Linked DNA regions of Bombyx mori. The protein of the gene in region 2 interacts with the protein of the main gene of each other region in a pairwise test. Links are inferred from orthologs where the notes say so. Each region holds a gene or a part of one and is shown on either strand. Other genes may lie near its edges.

Region 1 (3,524 bases), on a different chromosome or scaffold from region 2:
AGAATCTACCGTAACATCGATATATGCGAGCGTCTCTAAGGAAATTGCACCAAATATCTAATGCATTTGAAAATAACGGTCTAGGGGTCGACGACCAATAAAGAAATTAAGTGTCCATAAAAAAAAATTTTTTTTTTAAAAGTAGATTGCAAATTCTTCTAATGTTATAAAATGCTGTGTAATATTGTAAAATGATATAGTATAATTATTCAATTATCAACGGACGCTTCAATCACATCGGACTGAATGAACTAATGTCGGGTACATATTCATAATATACTAAAATATTTTTTTAAGTTTATACATAATTAAGTAGGATTCCTCTTTGTAACAGATCTAAGTGTCTCTCGTGCGAGTTCTTAAACGTTTTAGTCCACTGTTCGAACTGCTATCAAACAAGTAGTCTTTGATAGTGGTTATAGCCGTTTTTTAACATCATCAATGGAGATCAGACTGGGTGGGAAGATGACAAACTGTCTTCTTTATTGGTATTGACACGAAAGACGGTCCAGCCGGCAGATTCAAACACAACCATCGCCCGTACCATAAACATTTTTTTTTGTACAATGTTTCCTTATTAGGAAAGGAAAGGGTATCTAAAGTACCATAAACAATGTTAATAGGCAGCTGACAGACTCCGGACTGCGAGCACTCAAACAACATCACATACGTAATTTGATTGTTGGATTAATAGTATCGATCGATAGGCCTCAGTTCTGAAGTGTGACAATTCAAAAAAATATGTTCTTGTCGCAGTTAGGAAATTAAATAGCATGGTAGTTTGATCTGTGCATTTCAATGTTACAATGTATTTCAATTTTAATTTCAATATTTCATTTCACTTAATATTAATTTTACAAAAATATTGTCTTTTTAAATCATTCATTTAATTTTTTTTCATTGATGACAGCCGCAACGTAGAACCTTTCTTTTAAAGTCTAGTTTCTCTTATAATGAATAATATCCCATATTTATGTTAATTGCTGTATAACTAACTGTTTAAGATACTTGTTACTCTGCAGAGCTGAGGTATCAGTTAATGTATATGTTATTAAATAATAAACAGCAAAATTCAATTAATAAATTTTGTATTTTGTTTCATTTTATTATTACAAATATGATTATTGCTTTTTGTACGCATCAATACTTCATTACGATGGTGTTCTCAAACCGCATTTCAAAAAATAAAATATTTACATAACCATGTATTAGAGAAATTAAAATAATCATTAAAATTTTCATAAAGCTAACGCTTAATGTTCAGATATTTTAAAATTTTATGTATTAATATTTATTTATTTATTTTACACAATCCATAATAACAATACTTTACAAAACACAAACAAAAATTATATACTAGAGTCAAAGTTTCAACCGTTTCTTTAATACATTTACAATCCATGTTACTTCAGCATTAAAGGCCCTAACTTACGATGCATATTTACATAATTTACATGACAAAAAGATTACTAAAAATAAAAACAATTGAACCATGACTCTTCTACATACAATTTTATTTATTACGTGAAACGCGTGTTTACGAAATCACAAACAATTCAATAATTTAAGCTCAGCTTGAAAATCTCACAATTTTTATTTATTAGCTTACACGGGTGACAAGCTCAGGACCCACCTGATGGTAAGTGGTTACCAGAAGCCATAGATATTACAACGTAAACGCCGCCAACCAACTTTAGATATGAGGTCTAATTCTCAATTGTGCTGCATAACACTTTCTCAAACCTTCAAATCGGAATACATTACTGCTTCACAGCAGAATTAGGCAGATCAGTAATATCAGCCCAGGCGGGCTTACATTACGCACTACCACCAGTAAAACATTAACATTAATTCACTATACAAGATATAGATCGTTTAGATCTGTCACAGTCATAAAAAAATATTTAGCACACAATCTTAACACAACAAGTCCACGTCAGTTATATTCAACCCCAACTATTACATTACATTAAACTAGTTACATTTAATATAGTATAACAATTTCATTAACTATTCTATTTATAACATTTTTATTGACACAATTTCGATAATCACAATTGACTGACGTGGAAAACCTCAAAATGTCGATTTCAACAAACCTGTATCAAATCGACACAAGTTATAAACTCATTAGTTATGTGCACTGTGAGATTTTCACACCGAGAGTTGTCCCACACTACGCCACACATATAGTAGTGTCAATAACGTCACAGATGAAAGGCACGATTCCCAACATTCACAGGATCCACTACGGCAAACACTAGAGATCAGCTCGGCGTCACCATGAGCACTCAACGACTAGTTCACACCGACTCACACTCGCGCACAGTACGTCTCATCGCGTTCGCCGCATCGGCATCGACAGTTCACGTGACAATCGCGTCGTTTTCGATCATAACAATACATATCTTCTGCGGCACGAACGACGCCACGGCCGAGCCTGCAGTTAGTCGTAGTCGATGTCCATGTTGTACCGGTCCGAGCCGAGCGACGACGACGAGGTGTCGGGCCAGCCGGAGCCCGACGAGCCCGAGTCGAAGCCCGAGAGCGTCACGTGCGCGCCCGTCGCCTGCATCATCTGCTGCAGCGCCGCCGCGAAACCTAGAACCATCAAATATATTATATAATATTTTACACTATGAATATTGTAAGTATAGATAGGGGATTGTTTAATAATCAAATGTTTGAAATTAAACTGAATAGTAATCAAAAATTTGTAGCTATTTAAAGTATTTAGATTTGTCATGAAAAATGCTCTATCACCATTCTGTTAATAAGTATAAAATTGTAGTTTTAAAAAAGGTTTTTTTTATTGCCCTTGTAGGCAGACGAGCATACGGCCCACCTGATGGTGAGTGGTTACCGTCACCCATGGACTTCAGCAATGCCAGGGGCAGAGCCAAGCCGCTGCCTACCGCAAATAGTTTTTATTTATTTTTAGAGAGTAAATAGTTTTTATTTTTTTCTAATGCAAATCCTATTTGGTTTTTGCATAATAGTTTTATGTTCGTAACATTTATGTTGCGAATTATAATCAGGAAGATGATACACACCAGACCGAGCATTGATTGAAGCTATTGACGGAGTACTACTGGCCGTAGACGTGGGCGGTTGCGTGGGCGGTAGCGGCGGTTGCTGGGTCGTGGCGGTGGCTGTGGTGTCTGTGGTGGTGCTTGTGGTATTGGTGATGGCTTCAGTATCGGCAGGCGGAGGATCTGCTGGGAGCAGCGAGCGCCGACAGATGGGACAGGTGGCGTGTAGCTGCAGCCACGGGGAGATACACGACGAGTGGAACAGATGCTCACATTCTAACCGCGATACTGTCTCGCCTGAAATGTGAATTACATATTTTGTTAACTTATCTTGATTAGTCACTGTTGATAGTTGTTACAAATGGCAAAGCTATTAATCCTAATTCATTCCTAAATCATAAGTAATATTAAGTAAAAAACATTTTATGCCTTACTACAAAAATTGTAAAAGTTTCACTCTTAATTATGTAAATTGATAAAAATATATTCATA
Region 2 (3,386 bases):
CCAGCCGGTTATTAACTATTTCAATGTAATTACATGCAAAAGGTAAGAAACTAGATTGGTTTAAATGTAAAAGCATAGGGTTTCGTTTACTTCGTTTTTTTTAAATAAAATATAGACGTAGTGGTCAGATACGAACGTCCATAACGGCAGCGGCGGCTTGCTGCTGGCGACTCCTCTCGCGATGGATCTCCGCCTCGATGGCCTGGCGAATGGCCAGCTTGCAGGCTCGCTGGCATATCTCCGTCAGGTCAGCGCCACTGAAGCCTTGCGTCACCTGCACAGTTCTCGTTATCATAAAGAATCCGCCGAGGGCAGTGGTAGTCATGGCGTGTAAAAGTAAAATGGCGGTAGAACGTCTTGCGAGTCTCCACGGGTAGGTACCACCACCCTGCCTATTTCTGCCGTGAAGCAGTAATGCATTTCGGTTCGAAGGGCGGCGCAGCCGTTGTAACTATACTTGAGACCTTAGAGCTTATATTTCAAGGTGGGTGGCGCATTTACGTTGTAGATGTCTATGGGCTCCAGTAGCCACTTAACACCAGGTGGGCTGTGAGCTCGTCCACCCATCTAAGCAATAATAAAAAAAAATAGAGGTATTTTGCTATTAATAATATTGTTTTATAGTTATGTATATCAATTATCACTTATACTATAAAATATACTTGCAAAAAGTAGCCATCTTTCTATGAATACAAAAAATATATTAAGAAGTGGAATCTACCTTGGCGATGTAAGACAAGTCAACGTCCTTAGCGATAGGCGATTTGCGAAGGTTGGCGCGCAGGATGGCCTCGCGGGACTTCTCGTCCGGCAGCGGGATGTAGATGAGCTGGTCCAGACGGCCGGGACGCAGGATGGCCGGGTCGATGATGTCCGGTCTGTTTGTGGCACCTTCATCACAAATGATTCATTTAGTTTCTCCTGATTCAATTCACTATAATTATTTTATAAAATTATCATTGTAATCGATTCATCATCTGCATGTTTACGATTTGGTTTAAAAAAGAACTAGCCTACTTCGCTGCGCATTTAAAATTAACATTATTATTTATTGTCATTATTATTAGGGAGTCCAACACTCATATAAATATTGGTCTATCCATTAAGTACGTGTATTTTCTACATGGATATCAAGTTTCAAGTCAATCGGATGCAGGGTTCAATAGTTATAACGGAACATCCGTAAAAACCACTGTAAAAACCCGTTTTTTTTCCCCCCTACTTAAGCTGATAGTCTTGAGAGGCTGTATCAGCGTAACCTTAATTAGTAGGTGAGCTCACGGGGCTAAAACCTGATGACGTTGCTAACACGAACCCTAGCAAGACCCGTGCTTCGCAGAATCTACCACCGGATCGGAAACGCGACCCACTGAGAAGATTCGGCGAGAAACTCAGTGGGCTGTCTGAGGGTAAAACCACTGTAGATTTATATATTAGTATAGATAGTGACTTGTCAATTAGCAGTGGTCATTTAATGGCAATTTCTTTAGGTAGTATAATGTAGTGACCGATGATGAAGACGTTCTTCTTGGCGCCCATGCCGTCCATCTCGGTGAGGATCTGGTTGATGACGCGGTCCGCCGCCCCGCCCGCGTCCGACACGGAGCCGCCGCGCGACTTGGCGATGGAGTCCAGCTCGTCGAAGAACAACACGCACGGAGATGCCGATCGAGCCTGACCGGGGACACAAACATTATATTATGTACTATAGTACATTGTGCACCAAGGGAGAAAAGGAAGACATTTCCTCCTGCGTGGATAAGATGTCCTACTTTTTTCCCGCGGTGCACATACTATTTTTTCGCCTACCAGGCCGAAAGATCGTAGAGTACCGAGGATACTCATAAAAAAAACCATTTAACTGTTTTTTAATTTTTAAATAAACTACTACTAATTGAATAAGAACTGTCTGATGAACTCATCTTTGTTTAATACTTCACTATTCAATTTGATTGCCTTTTGTTTGTGTCACTTTTACACTAAACACAATATTGCAAATTACCCGAGCACAACTATGGCGGAGAATTTTAGGTGCGTGAGAGCAGACGTAGACACTAACGCGCATGCGCACTTGTCAGTACCCAGGGAGGAAAAGTTACACTTTGTTCCCTGTACAGCGGGGGGAAAACCGAACTTTCGGCGTAAGTAGGAGAAAAAAAGAATTGTAAAATGGGTTTGTGTTCTGTTTAAAATGATGATTACAGGAAACAATAATTTATTATGTTTCAGTTTTTTTTTCAAAGTAAATATAAATGGATCAATAAGCCCACGGCTCTCCTTGTGATGAGCAATGCCAAGGCTTCATACATGCAGATATGAGGGCTAAAATTTCATTTTCCTAATTTCCAAACAACTGCACACTACAGATGTAGACATTTAAATTACAATTGATTATTAGCATTCCAGCGGTAGTAGCCTTAACTTTTATATACTCACTAGCTGCCCGGCAGACTTCGTAGTTCCTCAATCGATAAATAAAATACCTAAACTTTTGTATAAAATAAACTTAAAACAAACAAATGGAATCCGTCTGACGGGGGTCACATCAAGTAAAAACAAGATTTTTTTTTATTTAATTCTGAGCATTTTCATATTTATCTACCTTTTAAACCTTCTCTGGACTTCCACAAATAACACAAGACCAAAATTAGCAAAATCCGTCCAGCCGTTCTCGAGTTTTAGCGAGACAATCCAACAGCAATTCATGTTTATATATATAGATTTAGTAAGTGAGTATTATTATTGCAATGTATATTACGTGAAGCCGTAATGTAAAGCGAAAACACACGCCTTCCTCCAAATTGAATATTTTTCAAATGCATTCTCCTCCATCTTTGTTTTATAGAATATTTCAAATATACCCAGTCTAAATGTAACAAGACAAATGATTTAACAATTAGGACGCACCTTGTCGAAGATGTCGCGTACGTTCGCCTCGGACTCGCCGAACCACATGGTGAGCAGCTCTGGTCCCTTCACTGATATAAAGTTAGCCTGACACTCGTTGGCGATGGCCTTTGCCAGCAAAGTTTTACCTGATTGATAATAATAAAACAATACTTGTAATGATTTCTACAAATTAAACCAGTTACATAATAATGTATGAAAAAAATTAAATTATGCAATTTTGGCATGCAGAGTCGTCGTGACCTAAATGATACGACGTTGACTACGACGAGCGATGCACCGGTGTTCGAATCCAACAAGCGGGTACCAATTTTTGTAATGAAATACGTACTTATCAAATGTTCACGATTGACTTCCACGGTGAAGGAATAACATCGTGTAATAAAAATCAAACCCGCAAAATTATAATTTGCGTTATTACTTGTGATAGGACGTCTTGTGAGTCCCGGGTAGGTGCCACCACCCTGCCTATTTCTGCC
Region 3 (4,518 bases), on a different chromosome or scaffold from region 2:
TCTGAATACAGCTACTGGATACTAAATTACATCACTACAACATTGACATCATATTTGGAATTACAGTTAAATATAAAAAAATAAATCAGAAAGAAATGTTCGATTGTTCTCTAAATTAAACAATCATCGTAATTTTTAAGGCATATTTCATATTTATATTTGTTTTGTATGATGACTACATTTAATTTAAGCATTTACCAAATGTATCCTACATAATAATTTACTGCCACCTTTTTATACTATATTTACATTTTATACTTTTAAAAAAAACAGAGACATGTATTTATTTGTAATAAAAAAAATACTAAGTAGGTATGCAAATCGAACAATATTTTTAAAAAACATTGTCAAAAACTTATTTAAAAATTTAATATCCATCTTTTACAAAATTAGAAATGTATATTATTAAAAATAAATAATTATCGGAAAACTAAACGAATTAAAATAGTATATATCGGTGTCGAATACCACTTTGACCAAATCCTATTATTTCAATAACTTTGTCAAGTACTAAAATAATATTGTTGGCCACGTGAATGTCCGTAAAATTCGGAATAGGAAATCGATGATATTCACAGCAAAGTCGAGAATTTCCGGTTACTGCTAAATAAGATTAGTCTATCCGATATTAAAAATGCAACTGTTTTAGTCGGCCTTCTTCGAGAGACCCGATCTGTGTGTTTGTAAACGATATTTTTTAAAAGGCTTATTACACTTGGCTAAATTTAGTCGACTAAATTCAGAAGCAAATTTAGAAGCAAGTTAGAAGCTTCTGATTACACTTCTAAATTCAGTTACTGAATCAATTGTCAATTTAAACGCGACGAAGTAGGACGTGTCGTAAGCGGATGTAAGCGGTTGGCCCCAGCATTGTCTAGACAACAAAAAATTGGTCTGTGGGTTCAATTGAAACAAAAAAAAGAAAAAGAAGAATATGGGTAAAGAAATATTTAATGCTGCGCGGAAAGTTAGCAAATATGAACATTATGAGTGATTTAGAACCAGCAGACTTCAGAAATTATCTACGAATGGATTCGAGATCCTTTGACCTAATAAAACCTTGTGACACCGTTTATTCAAAAGCAGGATACTACCCTGCGAGATAGTATAAGTTCAAAAGAAAGATCGGTTGTAGCATTAAGATTTCTTGCAACAGGAAATTCGTATGGAGATTTAAAATTTAGTTCTTTAATATCCCAACCCCTGCTGACAAAAATTATCCCTGAAAAATGTCGGGCTATTTATAAATATCTGGCATATTAAATAAAGGTGACAGAAATAAATACTTTTTATTCGAAAGTAAAAAACAAACTAAAACGTTCTTACGCACGGAGAGCTATGGGACGACTGAAATCATTAAGTAACTAAACGCGATTACACCTTCCTAAATGCGTTTCTTATTAGTCTTCTATATGATTTAGTCAGTCAGAAACCATCCTTGCTACTGAATTTAGTAGGCTAGCTTACTGAATGCTATTACATTTCACTGAATTCAGTCGACTAAATTTAGCCAAGTGTAATAAGCCTTTAAGCCAGAGAGTGCAAATGATTTCCCGAAAGAAATACAACGTGAGAACGAGATACAACGAGACACAATTTATTAATATTCGCCAAGACCGCTGGTTCATATCGTAAAACATCTTAATCTATGTACATTGACAATTAATTTTAACATTCAATATCACATTACTAGGAGACATAAAAACTAACTACAATAAAATTCACACGGGGAAAGATGTAATGTAAATATAAAACTTAAAATATCTTTTAAAAAACCCCAAAAACAGACATCACTATAGGAATTAGATACGCTACATTCAATTTTTGTTTGCAGGCTGCTTAAATAACTTAAGCTACTGCATTTATAAAATCTAGTTGCATCTGCTCGTTCTTTGTGGATTTATTCATTTGCCTTTCTTACTGTATTTTTAAAGTTTTCAAATGAAGGGAGAAATTTGATAATGCCTAAATGATTATCTGATGCTTTCAGCCTCGTTTTTTATACATTGCCTCAATAACAAGAGTATCCTATATTATGAGCATTGTAATCACACTTCTATTAAAATCTGCAATCGGTCCTCTAATTTTAATATCTACGGGTGGTCCAAAAATCAACTAGTATAAAATATTTTTTTCATTTTTTTTATTATACTAATATAGCGCCATCTTTACGTTGCCTATGATTCGTGTTCAAGATGTAAACTCGAATAAAATACATGTAAAAATTTAATGTAAGAGAACAATCTCCCGACGCCGAAACACCAACCACCTTAGCATTCATGGAGAACAATTATTAGGTATTGTTTTAATTTATTATTATTTTTGCTCAAAGAAAAGCATTAAGCGAATCCGCAATGTAAAGCTTACAAAAGTCGGGGTCAATGCCCGCACTTTGTCATCACGCGCCAACTGGTGGAAGCTTACCGTACTCGAGCAAGTCCTTTTCGAAGCATCACTGATTTTGAATTGTGTTGTACATATTTGTAAAACGCAATCAAGCATTTTTACTATGCCAATTTATTTTATTTTTATTTTTGCAAATGATTAACATCTGTTTTGTTTTTCAGAAGACCGAGCTGATTTGTAATACATTAATCCTATTTCAGACCCTTTAGAATCGTCACATTTCATAAACACATTCATCATCGGGAGAAATTCTCTTACACCGCCTACAAAAAATTCCGAGAGAGAAACAACTGTCCGACGGCTGATCACATGGATTACAATATCAATAGTCATAAATGTATGAAAACCGATTTTGGGTACCACACTCTTACACAACAAGGAAGAAACATTGACCCCAAAAAGTTACTACAAAAAAAGAGCATTCCTTACAAACCACGACACTTTATTACCAATTTATATAAAACTAGAATGTATACATATTCGTGTTCAAGCGTTGATATCGTTAACGAACAACACGTCTCGATCCTTCAGTCCCACGTCCAACAAGTTGGACGCTCCTCGGGCTAACACGCGTTTGGGAAAGTTTGTCGTTATCTCGAATTCTTCCGGAGACTGCGGATGGCTGAACACAAAGTCGTATAGATCCTGTAACGTGTTCACAAATTAATATAATTTAATTCTCTTTTTGTAACAGCAGCAGAAAGTATTTTTAATTTTCATTGCTTCGATATTAGACCTTAATATTATCGACACACGTTCCATTTTTGGGCGTACCAGTATATTTTGAGGTAATAAATTTTGTTTGGTTATTGTTAGCCTTTTCCAGTGACCACGTAAACCATCTATGCGTCACGAACAATAATACTATAGTATGCTAAGTAACATTAAACCAAATTGACAGCTGTTGACTAAATCGGTAGTTATTATCGACATTACCATAATTAACTAGGTCACAGCACTACCGGATTCCTTAGGATTGACACGAACTCGCGCGCCTACTGTATTTTTTATATCGTATCTTCTATTCAATAGCCTGAATGTTGTTACAATGTAAGTTTCTCTGGGCTTTTAATAATAGTTAACACAAAAAATGTATTTACCTGAGTGGTGTGGAAATGTGAAAATCTGCGAGTGAGACGTTCGCCGTCTGGCAGACGGATCAGAAGCACCACGGTGTCAGCGCCGCCCGACGGCTCCAACGGCAGACGAGACGCCATCGCTTTACGAGCCTCCACCACCTGAACAAACCGCACCAGCATTCGACATTAAATTATCGTAATAGGCTCTAATGCATTAAATATATCTATGTAAAAAATTTATGGTATATGATTTATTTAAACCAGTCCATGTAATCTAAAAAAATCTGTTGTCTAAAGAAACTGAGAAATAGGAAATATACGTTTTAATTTATATTAAACAATTTATTTATTTATTTATTTATTATATCCATCCTTGTGCTTCTGATATCAAGATTTATGTTATATTGTCCATCCAGATTTTTATATCTATATACCTAGTCAGGTCATAAATTCTGTCACATGTTTAATGTAAAATAATTGAAACAAGTTTATTCATTATGTAACCATTCATATCCCAAAATGAACTTAACAAAACATAGATTCTTATGACACTAAAGTTTATTCAAAATGACCTCCGTGATTTTGAATACAGGCCTTCAATCTGCGCGGCCAGTCGTCTATCTCAGCACGAACGAGGTCCATGTCAATATCGGCGGCTGCCTTAATCAAAGATGTCTTGAGTGACTCCAAATTGGGATGAGGCTTTGAGCACGCCTTTTCCTCCAAGTGTTGCCATATCTTGTAATCTAACCACTGAAGTAGGAAACCTATGGAAATGAAACGTCAACAAAAAATTCGTGCCGCTGTGACGTCATCTGGCCACAAAACATGGCGGTTTTAGTGCTGCCCAGAAGATTTTAATGTTAGTAGGTTTTATCGATAAACGTTCTTGGCTCATTTTAATTTAAATATTGTTGAGTGAATGTATTTGTAGAATTTATACTTTAATAGGAAGTAAGTATATTGTTATGTGCAAAGATGATGTGATTTAGATATTATGTAAAATCTAAGACGAGATCGTGCTTCAAATTTG
Region 4 (4,518 bases), on a different chromosome or scaffold from region 2:
CCCTTTTAAAAAAAAAGTCATTTATGGCACCACTCACACTGCGACGTCAACGGACGTTCACTCAACTTAAGGCTTTGGATCTTCACACGTTCATCCTTAAATCGAATTCAGATCAAATCGTGCCGGTGCCGTCATTATTCTTCATCGGCAGGAATGGTACTCCTCTCGAAGTGGTCTGCGCTGGTGTGGACGCCGACAATCTGTCCGCGAGGATCGATAGGATACTAGCGGAACATCGCAAGTATCATACTAATTAATAGAAATATCATTAAAGACGTATTTAGGAGTAAACAATGAGATTTTTTTTTTATTTGTTGCCTACATGGTGGTCTACTGGTCACCTGGTGTTAAGTGGATACCGGAGCCCATCGACATCTACAACGTAAATGCCGCTACCCACCTTGAGATATGAGTTCTAAAGTCTCAGTATAGTTACAACGTTTGCCCGGCCCTTCAAACCGAAACGCATTACTGCTTTACGACAGAAATAGGCAGAGTGGTACCTACCCGTAATCCATCACTGTTTATGTCGATATTATCGTCAGCGAGCTTAGCGTCAGCGTCAGAGGAACATATGGCTTAGCCCGGTGATGCTGATATGGTCGCTCTAGACCATCAGCTTAGGTAGGAAAAAAAACCATACAGCTACCTAATGGTGAGTGGTTACCGTCGCCCATGGACTTGGCAATGCCAGGGGTAGAGCCAAGCCGCTGCCTACCGCTATACCGATTCAGAAATCTGTCAAATATCTTGCGCGGTATGGTAGCTACCGCCAAATATACCATATCTGTATGTTTATTTTGTGGTAGGATGTGTTGCAAGAGGGTAGGAATAGCCCTGTTTCTGCCGCGAAGCTGTCATGCGTTCCAGTTTGAAGGGTGTGGTAGATGGGTATGCGAAGCCATCGACCTCACGTCTCAAGGTTGGCACTCTTGCTGTGATGTCTAGAAGCTTTATAATATTGACGTAGTATAAAGCCTACGACTGTTTTAAATTCTTTTTTCTCTCTCCTTTACAGGGCAAGAAAATCCGAAGATTAATGATCATTCAGGTATTAAATGATCTAGTATTTTAGAACAGGGGAGGTTGAGATGGTATGGCAGTAACTGTCCGGGTTAAAGTCAGAAGCGATGAGCTAACTGCTCAGATCTTGTTTGGAGAGTCTCCGGTTTACAGAGAACAAGTTAAATAACTTGGCATTCTGATGTTCTGTGTATCTATACTAATATTATAAAGCTGAAGAGTTTGTTTGTTTGTTTGAACGCGCTAATCTCAGGAACTACTGGTCTGAATTGAAAAATTATTTCAGTGTTAGAAAGCCCATTTATTGAGGAAGGCTATATTATAACATCATTAAACCGATACAAGTGGAGCACCAATAAAGAATGTTTCAAAATATTTTCACTTTCTACGTAAATGAAGTGGGAGGGAAAATTTAGCGTTATGCCAAAGTAACTATTCCACGCGAACGAAGTCGCGGGCAAAAGCTAGTTTATTATAAACGAAAATAATGCAAACGTTTTTTGTTCATAAATAATTTTATATATATGTATATAACAAGATAGCATGTGCGTATGTAAATATAATAGTTATATAATATAGTATATATATACTCTGGCGTTACGGCGTCTACCCTACATTTTTGTGATATTTATCAAAACAATGTTTTATGATTAAAAAAAAATAAAAATCAAAACATTGTCTCAATATTACTTAAGTCGTTATCCACGACATATATTAGTAATTAATTAAGTTCCAATAGGTCATTTAATAAGTAGCAAAACAGAAAAATGTGCTAAATTAGTAACTGAATGGTACCCTCGAGAGGGGAAAAGATTAAAAGGACGACCGTTCCAAAGATGGGTAGACGACATAAAAGCCGTTACATGCTCCACGTGGAAGAGGAAATGCCACGACCGGAATTTATGTTAGGATTTGGGGGAGGCAACGGCTTGGCTCTGCCCCTGGCATTGCTGAAGTCCATGGGCGACGGTAACCACTCACCATCAGGTTGGCCGTATGCCCCTCTGCCTACAAAGGCAATAAAAAAAAAGAGGCCTATGCGAAAGCAAAACAATCTTAGCCGATGTCAAATGCAAAGAAAAAAATGAATAGTATGTCCCTAAATATGAAATAAGGTTGCTGATAAAGGCTTCTTTATCTTTATCTTAAGTTTCAATGAATGCCAATGAGGTCAATTCAGTTCCCTCCGTTCCTCCGAAGATGCCTTCATCAAAGTATTAGACGAATATTCGGAGTCTGATAACTACGAGTTAGTCTGCGGCGATGAGATATGCGTGCGCGTGCCCAGGCCTAAGCACGACAAGCCGGGGCCCAGCCGGGACTCTGCCCCCCCAGCGGACGACTCCGCCTCACCGGCGGACGAATCGCCCGAGCCGACGGACAGCGAGGTGCGTGATCTTCTTTCTCCTCGCAGACCACTAGTGTATCGTCAATGTAGAAAACAAACAATAATTTTATTAAAATACGTATAATATTCAAGCATTCGAAATTATATAATGACAATAAAAAACAAATAAACAGGGAATAATTATAGTAATATAAATCACAGTAGTCTGTCTCGCCGGATATTCTCAGTGGGTCGCATTTCCGATCCGGTGGTAGATTATGAGAAGCACGACTCTGTCGAAATTGTCAAGATAAATACACATACAATAATAAGAGATTCTCATAGGCCAACCAGCAGAAACCTTCGGGGATGGAGACCTTGACCGAAATAGAAGACAAGTTGGAACGCACCAAGCTACTGATAGAAGCGAGACGCAGAGAGAAAGAGGAGAAAGAGAAGGAGGTTAGTTTATGCTAACACTATTATACGATTTTTTTGGGCTGGGGGTCAAATCTCCTACGAGGTCCCCGCGCTTTGGGGACTGGTCTGTAGATTTCGGGGACCGTAGGACTCGAGGGATGATTAGGGCCCTACCCCTACTAAAGGACGAGGCGAATCGAAGGTTGTGCAACGTCAATCGTCTAGGTACGGTGACCCGTCAGACGGTACCGCTGGTGTCCCGGAACACCATGCTGGACCAGAACCAGCCTTCCGGTTCCTTTTGACAATCAGATTGCTTCATGGCAGCGCGCCGCACACCCTCAACCCCCTCAACATTCGCCGCGGGAAATGCGCAATTTTTTTTTAAATAATAATGCTTCATCTCTTTCTAGCTCGAAAAGCAGAGGGAGATAGAACGACGCGCCACCGGCAAAGGGGTCACGGAACTCAAGAAGTGGCAAGCGGAACAGGAACTGAAGCAGATACAAGTATGCAATGAGCTTACGGCCCGCTCGACGTGAAGGGGTTACGAGCCCATGGACATCACGTGATAACAAAACGTCGTGTCTTGTGGGAGTCAAATGTTCTTTTTTTCTTTCTTCTGACCTCGAGCTGCCATTTTAACAAAACTAGTGGTCCCGCAGTAGTCGAAATTCGACTATAATTAATTGAAATTATAAGTTTGAACATTATTAAGGTTTTATTGTCAAAGACTATTGTACTTCTATCATCACAGATTTCGCCAAGACTACACTATAGACAAATAATATTGAAGATAAACAATATTAACCTATTCTCTATTTGACCATAGACTTTGAGCAATAACTAAAGTTTGGCAATAAACAAAGAGTATATATATGTGTGTGTGTCAAATACATGGTAGTGTGCGTAATGTTTTCTTTATTGATTTAAGGTATTATTAGCATTACTTAAAAAAATAATAAGCATGCTGCACTCCTTCTCTATATTCTCTATAAGTGTGGAAAATTTCATACTCCTCCGTCTGCGCAATTTTCGTAAAAAGGGATGCAAAGTTTTTGCTTCGCGTATTAATATATAGATATATATATGTCAGTCAGTTACTTCGTTTCGACGTGAACAAACACACGTGCGCATTTATAATATTAATTTGGATCGGTTTCGCTGGCTTGGGGACGAATTTGTCTCAAAACATTCTAGAGTACCTCATAGAAACACTTGGAAGGATTTGGCGGTATTAAAAAAACCGCCATTCGTATTCCCGATGCAATGTCTCGTCTCGTTACAGGAAGAGAGGAAACGGGAGAAGCTTGAAAACGAGCTCGCCCGGCAGCGGATCCTGCAGCAGATAGCGCAGGACCGGGCCGAGAGGCGCGCCCGGGACCTCGCCCCCGCGCCCCCAGACCCCAAGCCCGCGCCCCCCGCGCAACTGCCGGGAAGTAAGTCTTGAACAACTACCGTCGCCCATGTACCTCAGCAATGCCAGGGGCAGAGCCAAGCCGCTGCCTACCGCTTAATACTCTCCGCAAGCCTCGTTTGAAGAAGGACATGTCACAGCGCTCGGGAAACACCGTGGAGGGGAGCTCATTCCATAGCGGCATTTACGTTGTAGATGTCCATGGGCTCCGATAACCATTTAGCACCAGATGGACTGTGAGCTCATCCATCTATCTAAGCAATAAATATATATATTTTTTTATTGCTTAGATGGATGGACGAGCTCACAGCCCACCTGGTAAATACGTACT

What was found.
Region 1: the proteins of Ter94 (region 2) and E3 ubiquitin-protein ligase RNF126 interact in binary tests that used the Homo sapiens proteins (3 or more experiments, as listed by UniProt). The link is inferred for Bombyx mori from reciprocal best matches to the Homo sapiens genes VCP and RNF115.
Region 3: the proteins of Ter94 (region 2) and FAS-associated factor 2 interact in binary tests that used the Homo sapiens proteins (3 or more experiments, as listed by UniProt). The link is inferred for Bombyx mori from reciprocal best matches to the Homo sapiens genes VCP and FAF2.
Region 4: the proteins of Ter94 (region 2) and UBX domain-containing protein 4 interact in binary tests that used the Homo sapiens proteins (3 or more experiments, as listed by UniProt). The link is inferred for Bombyx mori from reciprocal best matches to the Homo sapiens genes VCP and UBXN4.

What each region holds. Positions count from the first base shown.
Region 1 is NC_085127.1:1,843,471-1,846,994, reverse strand, and holds the end of E3 ubiquitin-protein ligase RNF126, read right to left. Parts: intron 3,330-3,524; coding exon 3,054-3,329; intron 2,602-3,053; coding exon 2,447-2,601; 3' UTR 1,072-2,446; downstream 1-1,071. UniProt on the Homo sapiens protein: E3 ubiquitin-protein ligase that catalyzes the 'Lys-48'- and/or 'Lys-63'-linked polyubiquitination of various substrates and thereby plays a role in a number of signaling pathways including autophagy, innate immunity, cell proliferation and cell death.
Region 2 is NC_085125.1:11,199,045-11,202,430, forward strand, and holds part of Ter94 (transitional endoplasmic reticulum ATPase TER94), read right to left. Parts: intron 3,036-3,386; coding exon 2,908-3,035; intron 1,675-2,907; coding exon 1,509-1,674; intron 892-1,508; coding exon 722-891; intron 275-721; coding exon 137-274; intron 1-136. UniProt on the Homo sapiens protein: Necessary for the fragmentation of Golgi stacks during mitosis and for their reassembly after mitosis. Involved in the formation of the transitional endoplasmic reticulum (tER).
Region 3 is NC_085109.1:7,645,374-7,649,891, reverse strand, and holds part of FAS-associated factor 2, read right to left. Parts: intron 3,645-4,518; coding exon 3,507-3,644; intron 3,052-3,506; coding exon 2,893-3,051; 3' UTR 1-2,892. UniProt on the Homo sapiens protein: Plays an important role in endoplasmic reticulum-associated degradation (ERAD) that mediates ubiquitin-dependent degradation of misfolded endoplasmic reticulum proteins.
Region 4 is NC_085108.1:1,315,252-1,319,769, reverse strand, and holds part of UBX domain-containing protein 4, read left to right. Parts: intron 1-111; coding exon 112-237; intron 238-1,018; coding exon 1,019-1,051; intron 1,052-2,223; coding exon 2,224-2,411; intron 2,412-2,695; coding exon 2,696-2,812; intron 2,813-3,183; coding exon 3,184-3,279; intron 3,280-4,058; coding exon 4,059-4,209; intron 4,210-4,518. UniProt on the Homo sapiens protein: Involved in endoplasmic reticulum-associated protein degradation (ERAD). Acts as a platform to recruit both UBQLN1 and VCP to the ER during ERAD.